3 linked regions of the Macaca fascicularis genome follow. The protein of the gene in region 3 interacts with the protein of the main gene of each other region in a biochemical or structural test. Links are inferred from orthologs where the notes say so. Each region holds a gene or a part of one and is shown on either strand. Other genes may lie near its edges.

Region 1 (3,647 bases), on a different chromosome or scaffold from region 3:
ATCCTTTCTCAAAGAAGAGGAAGTAGAGCATTCTGAGTTGCTGAAAACCTGTGCAAATGGGGCTTCTAAAACAAACATTGTACTGTGAGCTCTCAGGGAAAGGGAGGAAAAGGATATTGATAAATAAGGAGGCATTTTCTTGAGGCAGGGGACGAGGAGGGAGGTTTACTATTTTTAATGCCCTCAGCCCCAGTACCTGATAATCAGAGGAGACCATGTCCAATCTTGAATCAATTATCTGTTCAAAAAGAGGTGCTATTACCCTAGGGACAAGACCCTGAAAATATCATGCTGGTCATTCCTGAGTCCCTGTTCTATGCCCCACAGCATGTTAAAAGACAGGGGTTGGTGGCGGGTGGGGAGATCAGAGGATAGTGGCTTGTATTCTATGGAAGTAAAAAACTTAGTTCACATTAAGCACTGATAAAACCCAATGACTGGGCCCACAGATCTGAGAGGTCTCTAGCAGGGACCAAGAGGGGTGGTCCAGAACATCCTCAGCCTGAGGTGCAACAGGTGTAGAAAGTCTGGGAGGAGGAGGTGAGTATTAAAGTAATGGGAAACAGAACACTCCCAGACCTTAATTGGATAGTTTTTTAAAAAAGAAATCAAACATTGGGTGCCAGTCACAACAAATGCCATGCCTTTATGGTCACTTGATAGTATAAAAAAATTGCCAAAGCACGTCCAGCTAACCAACAGGTCTTGCTAGAAAGTGTTTGTGTGTATGGGAGAGTGCCAAGGGGCTTGGTACAGCTGACTATCCAACACGATTCCTATGGAAACAGAAGGGGCAGAGTCCTGGTTTGCTGGCTTATTGAGGGCTTGGCAGAGAAGAAGCTAAAGCTCCGAAGTGACTGCAGGTTCTCTGCAACTGGCTTTGACCCATGGAAACAGGAGGCAGATTCTCACTCTAGAGATAGTGAGGGGGCCAAACCTACTCATACCACAGGCATTAGTCCCCGTCATCCTCCAGGACCACCCCTGTGATGGGCAACTCATACCAGGCAGGGGAAGGGAGCTGATTAGGGAAGAAGGGATCATTTTTCATCTTTTAAAGTCTTAATTTATATTTTAACCTCAAACATATTATCAGTGCCTCAGATATAATTTAATCTTATGTCTTTAAAGGCCCCCTGAAACAAAAGTATACTTTTTATTTAGGCTTCCTCACTTTCTGGTAGTCACTTTCCCCCAGTCTCCAGTTTTACCCTGACTTAGAGTCCACAAACTTCATCAGACCCTCTGTACTCATGGACTTGGGCCTTTCTAGAGGGAAGCCTAAGGCTCGGCTCCAGATGAGCTGTGCCAGTACACCCAATGCTCGTGACACCCCAAACAGGACCGTGTAGTAATTCATCTCCGTCATGCCATAATACTGTAAGGTAGAAGAGAAAAAGGGTTTAAGGCAGAGGCAGAGACAGTGGCATGTACAAGTCCTGGGTGATAGAAACCTTAAAAGCTCAATTTTCTGTTTTTCTCCAAGGACTTAGCCCAGTCAACCTTAAATAGAAATGACACTGAGAAAAGTATAGCAATTGGGATTCTGAAAACAGAGCAACCCCAACCCTCAACCCTGTCATAGTCAACTTTATCAAAATGCTCTGTGAAGGAAGTCCTTGCTCTGACTAGGAGTTAACTGACTTTGTTCATGACAGATAACAATAGGGTTTGGTACAAATTAGAGGGAAAAGAGGGAAAGGAGGACTTACCTGGAGCAGCACCCCACTGTGAGCATCTACATTGGGCCAAGGATTCTTGGCTTTACCCTGCTCTAAGAGGACATTGGGCACAATCTTGTATAGCTGAGCAACCAACTTAAACATGGGGTCATTAGGCAGGTGTTTCAGAGCAAACTCTCGCTGACAGGTATATCGTGGATCAGTCTTCCTCAGTACCGCATGGCCATAGCCTGGAACAACCTGTAAAGAGTGGGGAAAAAAGATAGTATTCTCAGTAGAAATTCTTTTATTTTTTGAGACAGGATCTCACTCCTCTGTCACCCAGGCTGAAGTGCAATGGCATGATCACATCTCATGACAGCCTCGACCTCCCATGCTCAGGCAATCCTCCCACTTCAGCCTCCAGAGTAGCTGGGACCGCAGGTGCACACCAACACACCTGGCTTTTTTTTTTTTTTTGGTAAAGATGGGGTCTGGCCAGGTGCGGTGGCTCACGCCTGTAATCCTAGCACTTTGGGAGGCTGAGGTGGGCGGATGACCTGAGGTTGGGAGTTCGAGACTAGCCTGACCAACTGACCAACTCGGAGAAACCCCGTCTCTACTAAAAATACAAAATTAGCTGGGCATGGTGGTGCATGCCTGTAATCCCAGCTACGAGAGGGTGAGGCAGGAGAATCGCTTGAACCCGAGAGGCGGAGGTTGCAGTGAGCCAAGGTTGCACCACTGCACTCTAGCCTGGACAACAAGAGCGAGACTCTGTCTTTAAAAAAAAAAAAAAAAAAAGATTAGGGTCTATGTTGCTCAGGCTGGTCTCAAACTCCTGGGCTCAAGCGATTCACCCACCCTGGACTCCCAAAGTGCTGAGATTATAAGCGTGAGCCACCACACTCGACCTATTTAAAATCTTTTTTTAGAGACAGGGTCTTGCTATGTTGTCCTGGCTGGAGTGCAGTGGCTATTCACAGGAGTGATCTTGGCACACTTCAGACTTGAACTCCTGGCCTCAAGCAATCCTCTTGCCTCGGCCTCCCAAGTAGGCGGGACTACCGGTGCATGCCATTGTGCCCAACTAGAAATTCTGTTCTAAATTCTTCAAGGTAGATAAATGAAAAAAAAAAAAAATCTCTAATTTAGGGACCTCTTTCATTCTTTTCTTCTTAATTCTTCCAAATTGCAGAACTTGGGTCTTGGTTTCTTTCCTAGTCATTAAGCATCTCTGCTTACCCGTCCCGAGTTGAGTGTGTTCCAGATGTAGTCTCGTAACTTCTCATCTGACACATCTTTGCCAACTTCCTTCTGCAGCTGTGTTAGCCAGACAAGCACTTCCTATGGGTAAGGTTTGGGGAAAAAGGGCATGTTAATACATATGCCAGGAGACAATGCCAAGATCAGAAACAAAGCATGGGGTAAGGAAAACATGTAGCAGGAAAATAAAAAAGAATAGTCTTACCTGATTTGCCAGTCCATGGAGAGGCCCTGCCAGCCCGTTCATGGCTGCTGCAAAGGACAGGTAAGGGTCTGAAAGGGCACTGCCCACCAAGTGGCTGGTATGGGCACTTACATTGCCACCCTCATGGTCACTGTGGGGAAGTAAGAAGGGAGAGCCAAGGGGAGAAAGAAGGGGCAGATTATGGAAACCTTGCTGTTCTCTTATTTGCCACTTACTAGCCTAGTTACGGGCTCATGCCAGCCTATAGCCAGTCAGTTACACCTAAGCTCTTATAAAAGACATCCTAATCTTGGCCAGGTGCGGTGGCCCACGCCTATAATCTTAGCACTTTGGGAGGCCGAGGCGGGCAGATCAAGAGTTCAAGAGATCAAGACCATCCTGGCCAACATGGTGAAACCCCATCTCTGCTAAAAATACAAAAATTAGCTGGGCATCATGGCACACACCTGTAGTCCCAGCTACTTGGGAGGCTGAGGCAGGAGAATCACTTGAACCTGGAAGTGGAGGTTGCAGTG
Region 2 (3,647 bases), on a different chromosome or scaffold from region 3:
GTGGAAGACATGGAAGATGGGAAGCCCAGCCACAACTCCCAGTGGCCTAGAAAGCTAAGGCCATGGACCAGGGCAGGACAGCACAGAGGCCTCACTCAGGCCATCCTGGCTAAAGGTGCTGCTATGGCAGCAGGCAGCTCCCAGCCCCTAGGCCCTGCCCGTCTCTAGGGCTTGAGCCTGGGCCAGAGATCTGAAGGAGGTTTAGGGTCAGGGTCCTCCATCCTGAAGTTCCAAGTGACAAATTAAAACACAACAAAATAATCCTTTTGTTAAAAGAATGACCCTGGGCCCTCCTGGCCAGGGCCTCAGCACATTCCAGTCTGTCATGCAGGCTGAGAGGCCAGGCTCCTCCAAGGTCCCATGAGCTACTGGTTGTTGCAGCCCTGAGAGGCAGAGGAGCTGCCTGCCTGCTTTTTTCTCCTCTTGTTGAGGAGCCGGTTGTTAGAGGTCTTCAGGTCCTTGATCTTCACCTGATCGTAGTCCACCCGCATAGTGGCTAAGGCACTGGTCATCTCCTCCTGGGGACAGACAGGATGGGGGGCACTAAGAGGTCAGGATGTACTGACGTTAGGAACTATCACCCCCTGCCTGGGCAGCCCCTTAACAGTGTCAGTGACAGCCTGTGCTGCTTCTGTGCCCACTGTGTGCCCAGCACTGGGCCAAGCCCTTTGCATCACATGAGGGACCGCACTACAGTCCTCAGTGGCAGACACTGAGCTTCTTCACAAAGGCACAAAAGGAGAGTTATTCCCTGGGACCACACCAAGGGTAAGTGGGATAGTGAACTAAACCACTTCCACCACAGAACCACAAGACCTTCAGAGAATGCCATCTCGCTGGGCAACCAGCACACTGGGGCGTGGAGTTTGTGCCACTGGAGCTGCTACCCCATATATTCAAATGTGGCCTCTGCTGGGTCTAAACCAGGCTGACCACCCTCCCAAATGTTGTTGGTTATAAGAGAGGTCATCATTCAAGCTTGGTACCAAAGCCCTGTTTCATTGAGAAAGTACACCAGGAGCACCACACTGAATGGGGTAGTGAGGCCCAATCCTTGGAGTGCCATGGTTGGACCACTGTGACAGTCACTGACATCCTGTCCTCCAGGCATAGAAAGGGGCCAAAGACCCCAGACTCTGGGTAGCCACCCCCCTGAAGTCCCTTTTGCCCAAATCCTGGCACCTGTAGTGAGACTGAGGCAGAGCCCACCCACCTTGACTTCGTCCCAGTGGTCTTTGTCTTCCTGCAGCACTCGGGCCGTGTGGAGTGGGGTCTGTGGCACCACCATCGATTGCTGGAAGGAGCCCCATGCCCATGGATTAGAAACTGGAGGCACCTGGGACAGCACTGGTTCCCCCAACTCCATCCCCTTCTCCGAGTCTCAGATGGGAAAACTAAGGCTTGGGGTGCGGAAGGACCCTCAATGGGGCAGTGGCAAAGCCAGGTTGTAGGTGAGGCCCTACTATCTACCTGTGCGCATGGGCCCATTCCAGCCCTGTACTGGGGCCTCAAAGCAGAGCCACCACCCTCCTGCCCGGCAGTCCCACTCCGGCTGGACACCCTGCCTGCCATGGGAGGAGGAGGGGCTCACGTTGATCCAGGGGTGGTTCATAAACTGAGTGATGGTCAGCCTCTCTGTGGGGTCCGTCTTCAACAGGAGGCGGATCAGCTGCTTGGCTAGGGAGGCCAGGGAAGAGAGGGGAGAGGTGAGGTTGCAGAGTTCCTCAGAGCCAGCCCCTCCACCCTTCCCCATAGACCACAAGCTCTGCTGAGGCAGGGGCTGCATGTGCTCCCAAATTCCCAACCCACAGAAAGAGTGAGCTAACAACTATTTCTTGTTTTGAAGCACTAAGTGTCCAGGATAACTGGTTAAGCAGCAGTAGATAACTCATACAGGGCAGCCTTGTTTGTGGTCCTCAGAAGGGAAAATATGAATGAGGAATAGGAGTTAGAGGGAGTTTTGAGGAAGCAAGTTTTGAGCCTGTTTGACAGATGTAGAAACTGAGGCTCAAGAAGGTTAGGGGACTTGCCTAGGATCCCATAGCTGGGAAGAGGGGGAGCCAAGATTTGAACACAGGTCAGTTTGACACCAAAGTGATGTTTCCCAGAATGAAAGCTGCAGGGGCCAGGCTGGGACAGAGAGGTTCACTCACCATCCTCAGAGACCTCTGACCACTCAGGATTGGGGAAGCCATACTGGCCCAGGCGGATCCTTCTCTTCATCCCTGGGGAGATGGCCTGGCCCGTGTTGGAGTAGAAGGGTGGGAAGCCACAAAGGCTGGGGGAAGGGGTAAGTCATTTGGCATAGGGTGGGACCAGTGCCAGGGTAGACCCATTTCCCCTCAAAAGTCCCTGACTGGGGAGACAGGCAACCAGACACCATGGCAATAATACCAGCCCTCCAGACTCCCAGGCATATCCCAGGAATGCCATCAGCCCTTGGCATGGGGAGACCCTCAGGCACCTGAAGGAGTGGTGTCCCATGACCAAAAGGGAAGGGCAGCCTGCATGAGGAGTGACACACACAAGCCCCTCACCAAGGACATGGGGGTAGGGGGACAGAAGTGGTCCTGAGGGCTCACAGTGGGGGTGAGGACAGAAGATGGAGGCAGGAGGTGGGGAAGGTACTCACAGGATGTACATGATGACACCCAGGGACCACATGTCACATGACTTGTCATACTTCTCTGGACCCAGGACCTCAGGGGCTGCCAGGGCAGAGGGACATCAGGGCTCTCAGACCCAAGGGTCTTAGAGCCCAGGCAGAAGCCTGAAGCCTGGGCGAGGTGGGGAGCAGGTACCTGGGCTGGGAGGTAGGGCAGAGCAGACTGGCGTCTGGCACCTTTTGGAAAGGCAGCACGTGTGTGAAGCTGGGGGAGGAGAAAGCTCCCGGAAAAAAATCAACCACTTTCAGACATACCCCTAGCTCCCTTGGGCCTGGGCCCCTCTGCCAGTCTCAACCTTGGTGAAATAAGAGAAGGCCAGTCTGGGGCTTGGTGGGAAACTGCCGTAGGTGAGAGGGTCTTGGCCTGCCAGCTGTCCTGTGTCCCTTGCCTCCCAGAATGCACAGCCTAGGTCACAGGCAAGGAGGAACCAGGGGCAAGGCTCTGCATTCCATCATCAGCTTGGCTACCAATCCATGGGGCCTGTCTTCCCTGTGCAATGAGGTGGGTAGGCTAGAAGATTTCTAAGTTAAAATACTGCAAAACACATCCTAGTTAACAGAGTGCCATTTCAACTATCTCAGGGAGCTTCCCACCCCTTCAGCAGCCCTCCAGGAAGACCTCTTCTGAGGAAGAAAAGCCCTCTGTCATCAGCCCACTCTCAGGTTAGGGGGCAGTTTTGGCGAGGAGCATTTTCAGATCTGGGGGTTGCCCACTTGCAGAAGGGCAAGGAACTTTTCCAGGAAACATGAGTATGTGCACACCTCCAAGCCCTGGCTTTAGTGACTCTCTCCCACAAGGCAGGTGACTGGTACCCTTTGTCCCTCCAGGTTAGGAGGAAATGCCTGCCCGCTTTCTGAATATGAATCCCAGGAAGACAAAAACTAGAGAAAAACAACCGCGGTTGGGCTCCGTCCCGAGCTGATGGCAGCCTTTTATCACATATATATTTAGAGCTGCTGTGATGTCATTCAGCTCACAGGC
Region 3 (3,434 bases):
GGAACTCAAGCCTCAGGTGCTTCTCCTAGTTCCTCCTCCTTCCCGACTTTACAGCTTTAATTGCAATCATAACCTTGCAATCATGACCTTTTTTTTTTTTTTTTTTTTTTTTTTTTTTTTTTTTTTAAAGACAGGGTCTCACTCTTTCTGAGCTTTTGATTGTTTTGTTTTTTTGAAACAGGATCTTGCTCTGTTGTCCAGGCTGGAGTGCAATGGCACGATCTTAGCTCACTGCACCCTTCAACTCCTGGGCTCAAGCGATCCTCCTGCCTCAGCCTCCTGAGTAGCTGGGACTACAGGCATGCAGTAACACCCTGGCTAATTTTTATTTTTTAGAGACAGAGTCTCACTACATTGTCCAGACTGGTCTAGAATTCTTGACTTCAAGCACTTCTCCTGCCTCAACCCCCCAAAGGGCTGGGATTACAGGTATGAGCCACTGCGCCCGGCCCTACGACCTCTCTTTATGTGAGTCAGCCCGTGTCCAGCAACCTACATCAGTGTACCAACATGGCCCAGCACGGGGCTGGGCACACAGTACACCCTGAGTAAAGGTGACTTGTGGAAGCCAGCAAATGGCAGGTGCCTGAGGCTTCCTTCCACAAATACCAGGGTCTGAGCCAGTGACAGGTGGGTTACTTGGAACTTTATTTGAGAAAAACAAGATAAACGTATCAAAAGAACACACAGGTTGAGGGTGGGGGGGCGCAGCCAGTGGCGGCAGCAGGGGTGGGCATCCGGGCTAAGGCTTTACTTGGCGGCAGTCTCGTCAGATTTTGCAGCTTCTGGGCCCCCAAGCTGGGCCCGCGACTCGAAAGTGACCGGGATGGTGATCTCGTTGGACTGTGTGGCTAGCTTGGGCATGGGGGCTTCCACGGTCAGTGTGCCCTCAGGGGACAGGGAGGAGGAGACCTGGGTGGGGTCCACACCGGGGGGCAGCCTGGACGTGCAGAGAGAGAAGGCGAGCGTTACATTACACACTGGGTGGGTCCCTGTGCCCTCCTCCCTGACCCCCGCCCCCCGCCCCCCACCCACCCCGATCTGGCGCCAGGACTCACGTGTATTTCCGCGTGAAGCACCGGGAGATGTAGCCATGCTCGTCCTGCCGCTCCTCGTGCTTGCCTTTTGGGGAAAGAGGGAAATCAGACTATGGGGGAGGGGACCGCCTCTCGGCCCCGCCAGGCCAGAGGCCCCACCTCCTGCTTGGAAGCAGCTAGGACTGCAGGCCGGCAGGGATTAACGGAGGGGGTTGGGGGTGGGGGCGTGCCCGCCTGTCCGGGTTCTCAGAAACTTCCGGAAAGTTCCTCGATTCAGAGTTTTGGGAGGAATGGAGCAGGGCGCCGAGCTGGGGAGTGAGCAGTGCCCAGGCGCACTTGGAGCCGCACGCACGCCCTCTCCGCGGCTAGAAACAGGGAACCCGCTTATCTGGGGATGGGGTTGTGGGTGGGGAGGGGGCTCTGTGGAAAGGTGCATTTTCTCTCTTCATTGATGGTCTTTTAAAAAATTTTTTTGGTTGCTTTTTAATTTTTTTGTAGTGTTGGGGGGCGTCTCGCTATGTTGCCCGGGCTAGTCTTGAACTCCTGGCCTCAAGCCATCCTCCCGTCTCGGCCTTCCAAAGCGCTGGGATTACAGAGCACAAAGCGCCCTTAGAAGCGACCTGCACTCCCAATTCCTGAGCAGAGGAATCAGGGATCCTGTTTTTCCCGGTGCTGGGCTAACATTTAACTCCCCAGGCCCCCGGGACCCCCGTTTCAACCGCACCCCTCCCCCGGCCCTGCCCGCCCCGCTAGCCTCCTCCCCTCCTCTGCAGGACCAGGGGGACTCACCGGTGATCTCCACCACGCCATCCTTGGTCTTAACCGTTAGCTCGTCCGGGGCGAAGTGGTTGACATCCAGGGACACGCGCCAGCGGTCCGCCGTGTGCCGGATCTCCGAGACCCCGCTGCTGAGCTGCCGGCTGAGCGCGCGGCTGTAGGCGGGCGCGGCCACCGCGGGGCTCTCGATCGCGGCGGGGGGCAGGGGGCGCACGTAGCCTGGCCAGCTGCTGCCGCCCAACCACTGCGACCACTCCTCGGGCAGCCGGGGCAGCCCGAAGGCCTGGTCGAAGAGGCGGCTGTGCGGGTACCAGTCGCGGAAGGGATCCCAGCTGGGGCCCCGCAGGAGCGAGAAGGGGACGCGGCGCTCGGTCATGCTGGCTGACTCTGCTCTGGACGTCTGCTCGGAGAAGTGCGGGGCGCTGGGCCCGGCTGCGCTTTTATGCGGTTCCAGTCGGGTATTTTTAGCAGGCGGTGTTTGAGGTCTCTATTAATGGCAATGACCCGTTTGAGGGCCGCCCCTCCCCATGCACTCCTCCCCTAGCGTTCAGGGGCCGTGGGCGGGGCGAAGAGGGTTCTGCCCTCATCTGGAACCTTCTCTCGTTAAGGAAAACAAATGAGTTCGAGAGCTCGAAGCTGGAGCCGTGCCACGGCAGGGCACTCGCCGGCCCTGGTGCTTAAGAGCTGCCGACTGTGACCCGTGGCCAGGGCCGTTCTTTTGTTAAGGAGGACAGAGCCAGGCAGGTTGGGTTGGGGCATACAACTGAGAAGTGGCAGCGGCAGGATTGGAATCACAAGCGTGTGAGATGGAATGTGATATAAAGCAGGCTGGTGCTTGAGCCCAGGAGTTCGAGGCTGCAGTGCGTTATGATCTTACCACTGCACTCTAGCCTAGGCAACAGAGCAAGGACCTGTTAAAAAAATTTTTAAAAAGGGGCCGGGTGCGTGGCTCATGCCTGTAATCTCAGCACTTTGGGAGGCCAAGGCAGAAGGGTCCCCTGAGGCCAGGAGTTTGAGACCATTCTGGGCAACATAGTGAGACCCTACCTCTACCAAAATTTTTTTTAAAATTAGCTGGGCATGGTGTGCACGCCTGTGGCCTCAGCTACTCTGGAGGCTGAGGCAGCAGGCTCCTTTGAACGCTGGTGAGCTCCTTTGAACGCTGGTGAGTAGAGGCTTTGGTGAACCTGGATTGCACCACTGCACTTCAGCATGGGCTGCAGAGCAAAACCCTGTCTCAAAATAAGTAAATGAATAAATACAAATACAAAGATAAAGCAGTCTGGGCTGGGTGTGGTGGCTCACCCCTGTAATCCCAGCACTTTGGGAGGCTGAGGTGGGAGGATCACCAGAGGTCAGGAGTTTGGGACCAGCCTGGCCAACATGGTGAAACCTCATCTCTACTAAAATTACAAAAATTAGCTGGGTGTGGTGGCGGGCGCCTGTAATCGCAGCTGCTGGGGAGGCTGAGGCAGGAGAATTGCTTGAACCCCGAAGGCAGAGGTTGCGGTGAACTGAGATCTCACCACTGCACTCCAGCCTGGGCGGCAGAGCGAGACTCCATCTCAAAAAAAAAAAAAAAAAACAATCTGGTAATCTGGTACGGTTGTTAGGAGTGTG

Evidence for each region.
Region 1: the proteins of HSPB1 (region 3) and CS form a complex in vitro, tested with the Homo sapiens proteins (2 studies listed by BioGRID). The link is inferred for Macaca fascicularis from reciprocal best matches to the Homo sapiens genes HSPB1 and CS.
Region 2: of the proteins of HSPB1 (region 3) and MAPKAPK3, one has a biochemical effect on the other in vitro, tested with the Homo sapiens proteins (2 studies listed by BioGRID and IntAct). The link is inferred for Macaca fascicularis from reciprocal best matches to the Homo sapiens genes HSPB1 and MAPKAPK3.

Annotation. Positions count from the first base shown.
Region 1 is NC_088385.1:63,071,700-63,075,346, forward strand, and holds part of CS (citrate synthase, mitochondrial), read right to left. Parts: intron 3,263-3,647; coding exon 3,133-3,262; intron 3,009-3,132; coding exon 2,907-3,008; intron 1,923-2,906; coding exon 1,713-1,922; intron 1,379-1,712; coding exon 1,208-1,378; 3' UTR 1-1,207. UniProt on the Homo sapiens protein: Key enzyme of the Krebs tricarboxylic acid cycle which catalyzes the synthesis of citrate from acetyl coenzyme A and oxaloacetate.
Region 2 is NC_088376.1:113,680,569-113,684,215, reverse strand, and holds part of MAPKAPK3 (MAP kinase-activated protein kinase 3), read right to left. Parts: intron 2,709-3,647; coding exon 2,633-2,708; intron 2,279-2,632; coding exon 2,154-2,278; intron 1,678-2,153; coding exon 1,592-1,677; intron 1,295-1,591; coding exon 1,214-1,294; intron 519-1,213; coding exon 366-518; 3' UTR 1-365. UniProt on the Homo sapiens protein: Stress-activated serine/threonine-protein kinase involved in cytokines production, endocytosis, cell migration, chromatin remodeling and transcriptional regulation.
Region 3 is NC_088377.1:51,430,688-51,434,121, forward strand, and holds HSPB1 (heat shock protein beta-1), read right to left. Parts: upstream 2,231-3,434; 5' UTR 2,191-2,230; coding exon 1,827-2,190; intron 1,123-1,826; coding exon 1,059-1,122; intron 941-1,058; coding exon 751-940; 3' UTR 628-750; downstream 1-627. UniProt on the Homo sapiens protein: Small heat shock protein which functions as a molecular chaperone probably maintaining denatured proteins in a folding-competent state. Plays a role in stress resistance and actin organization.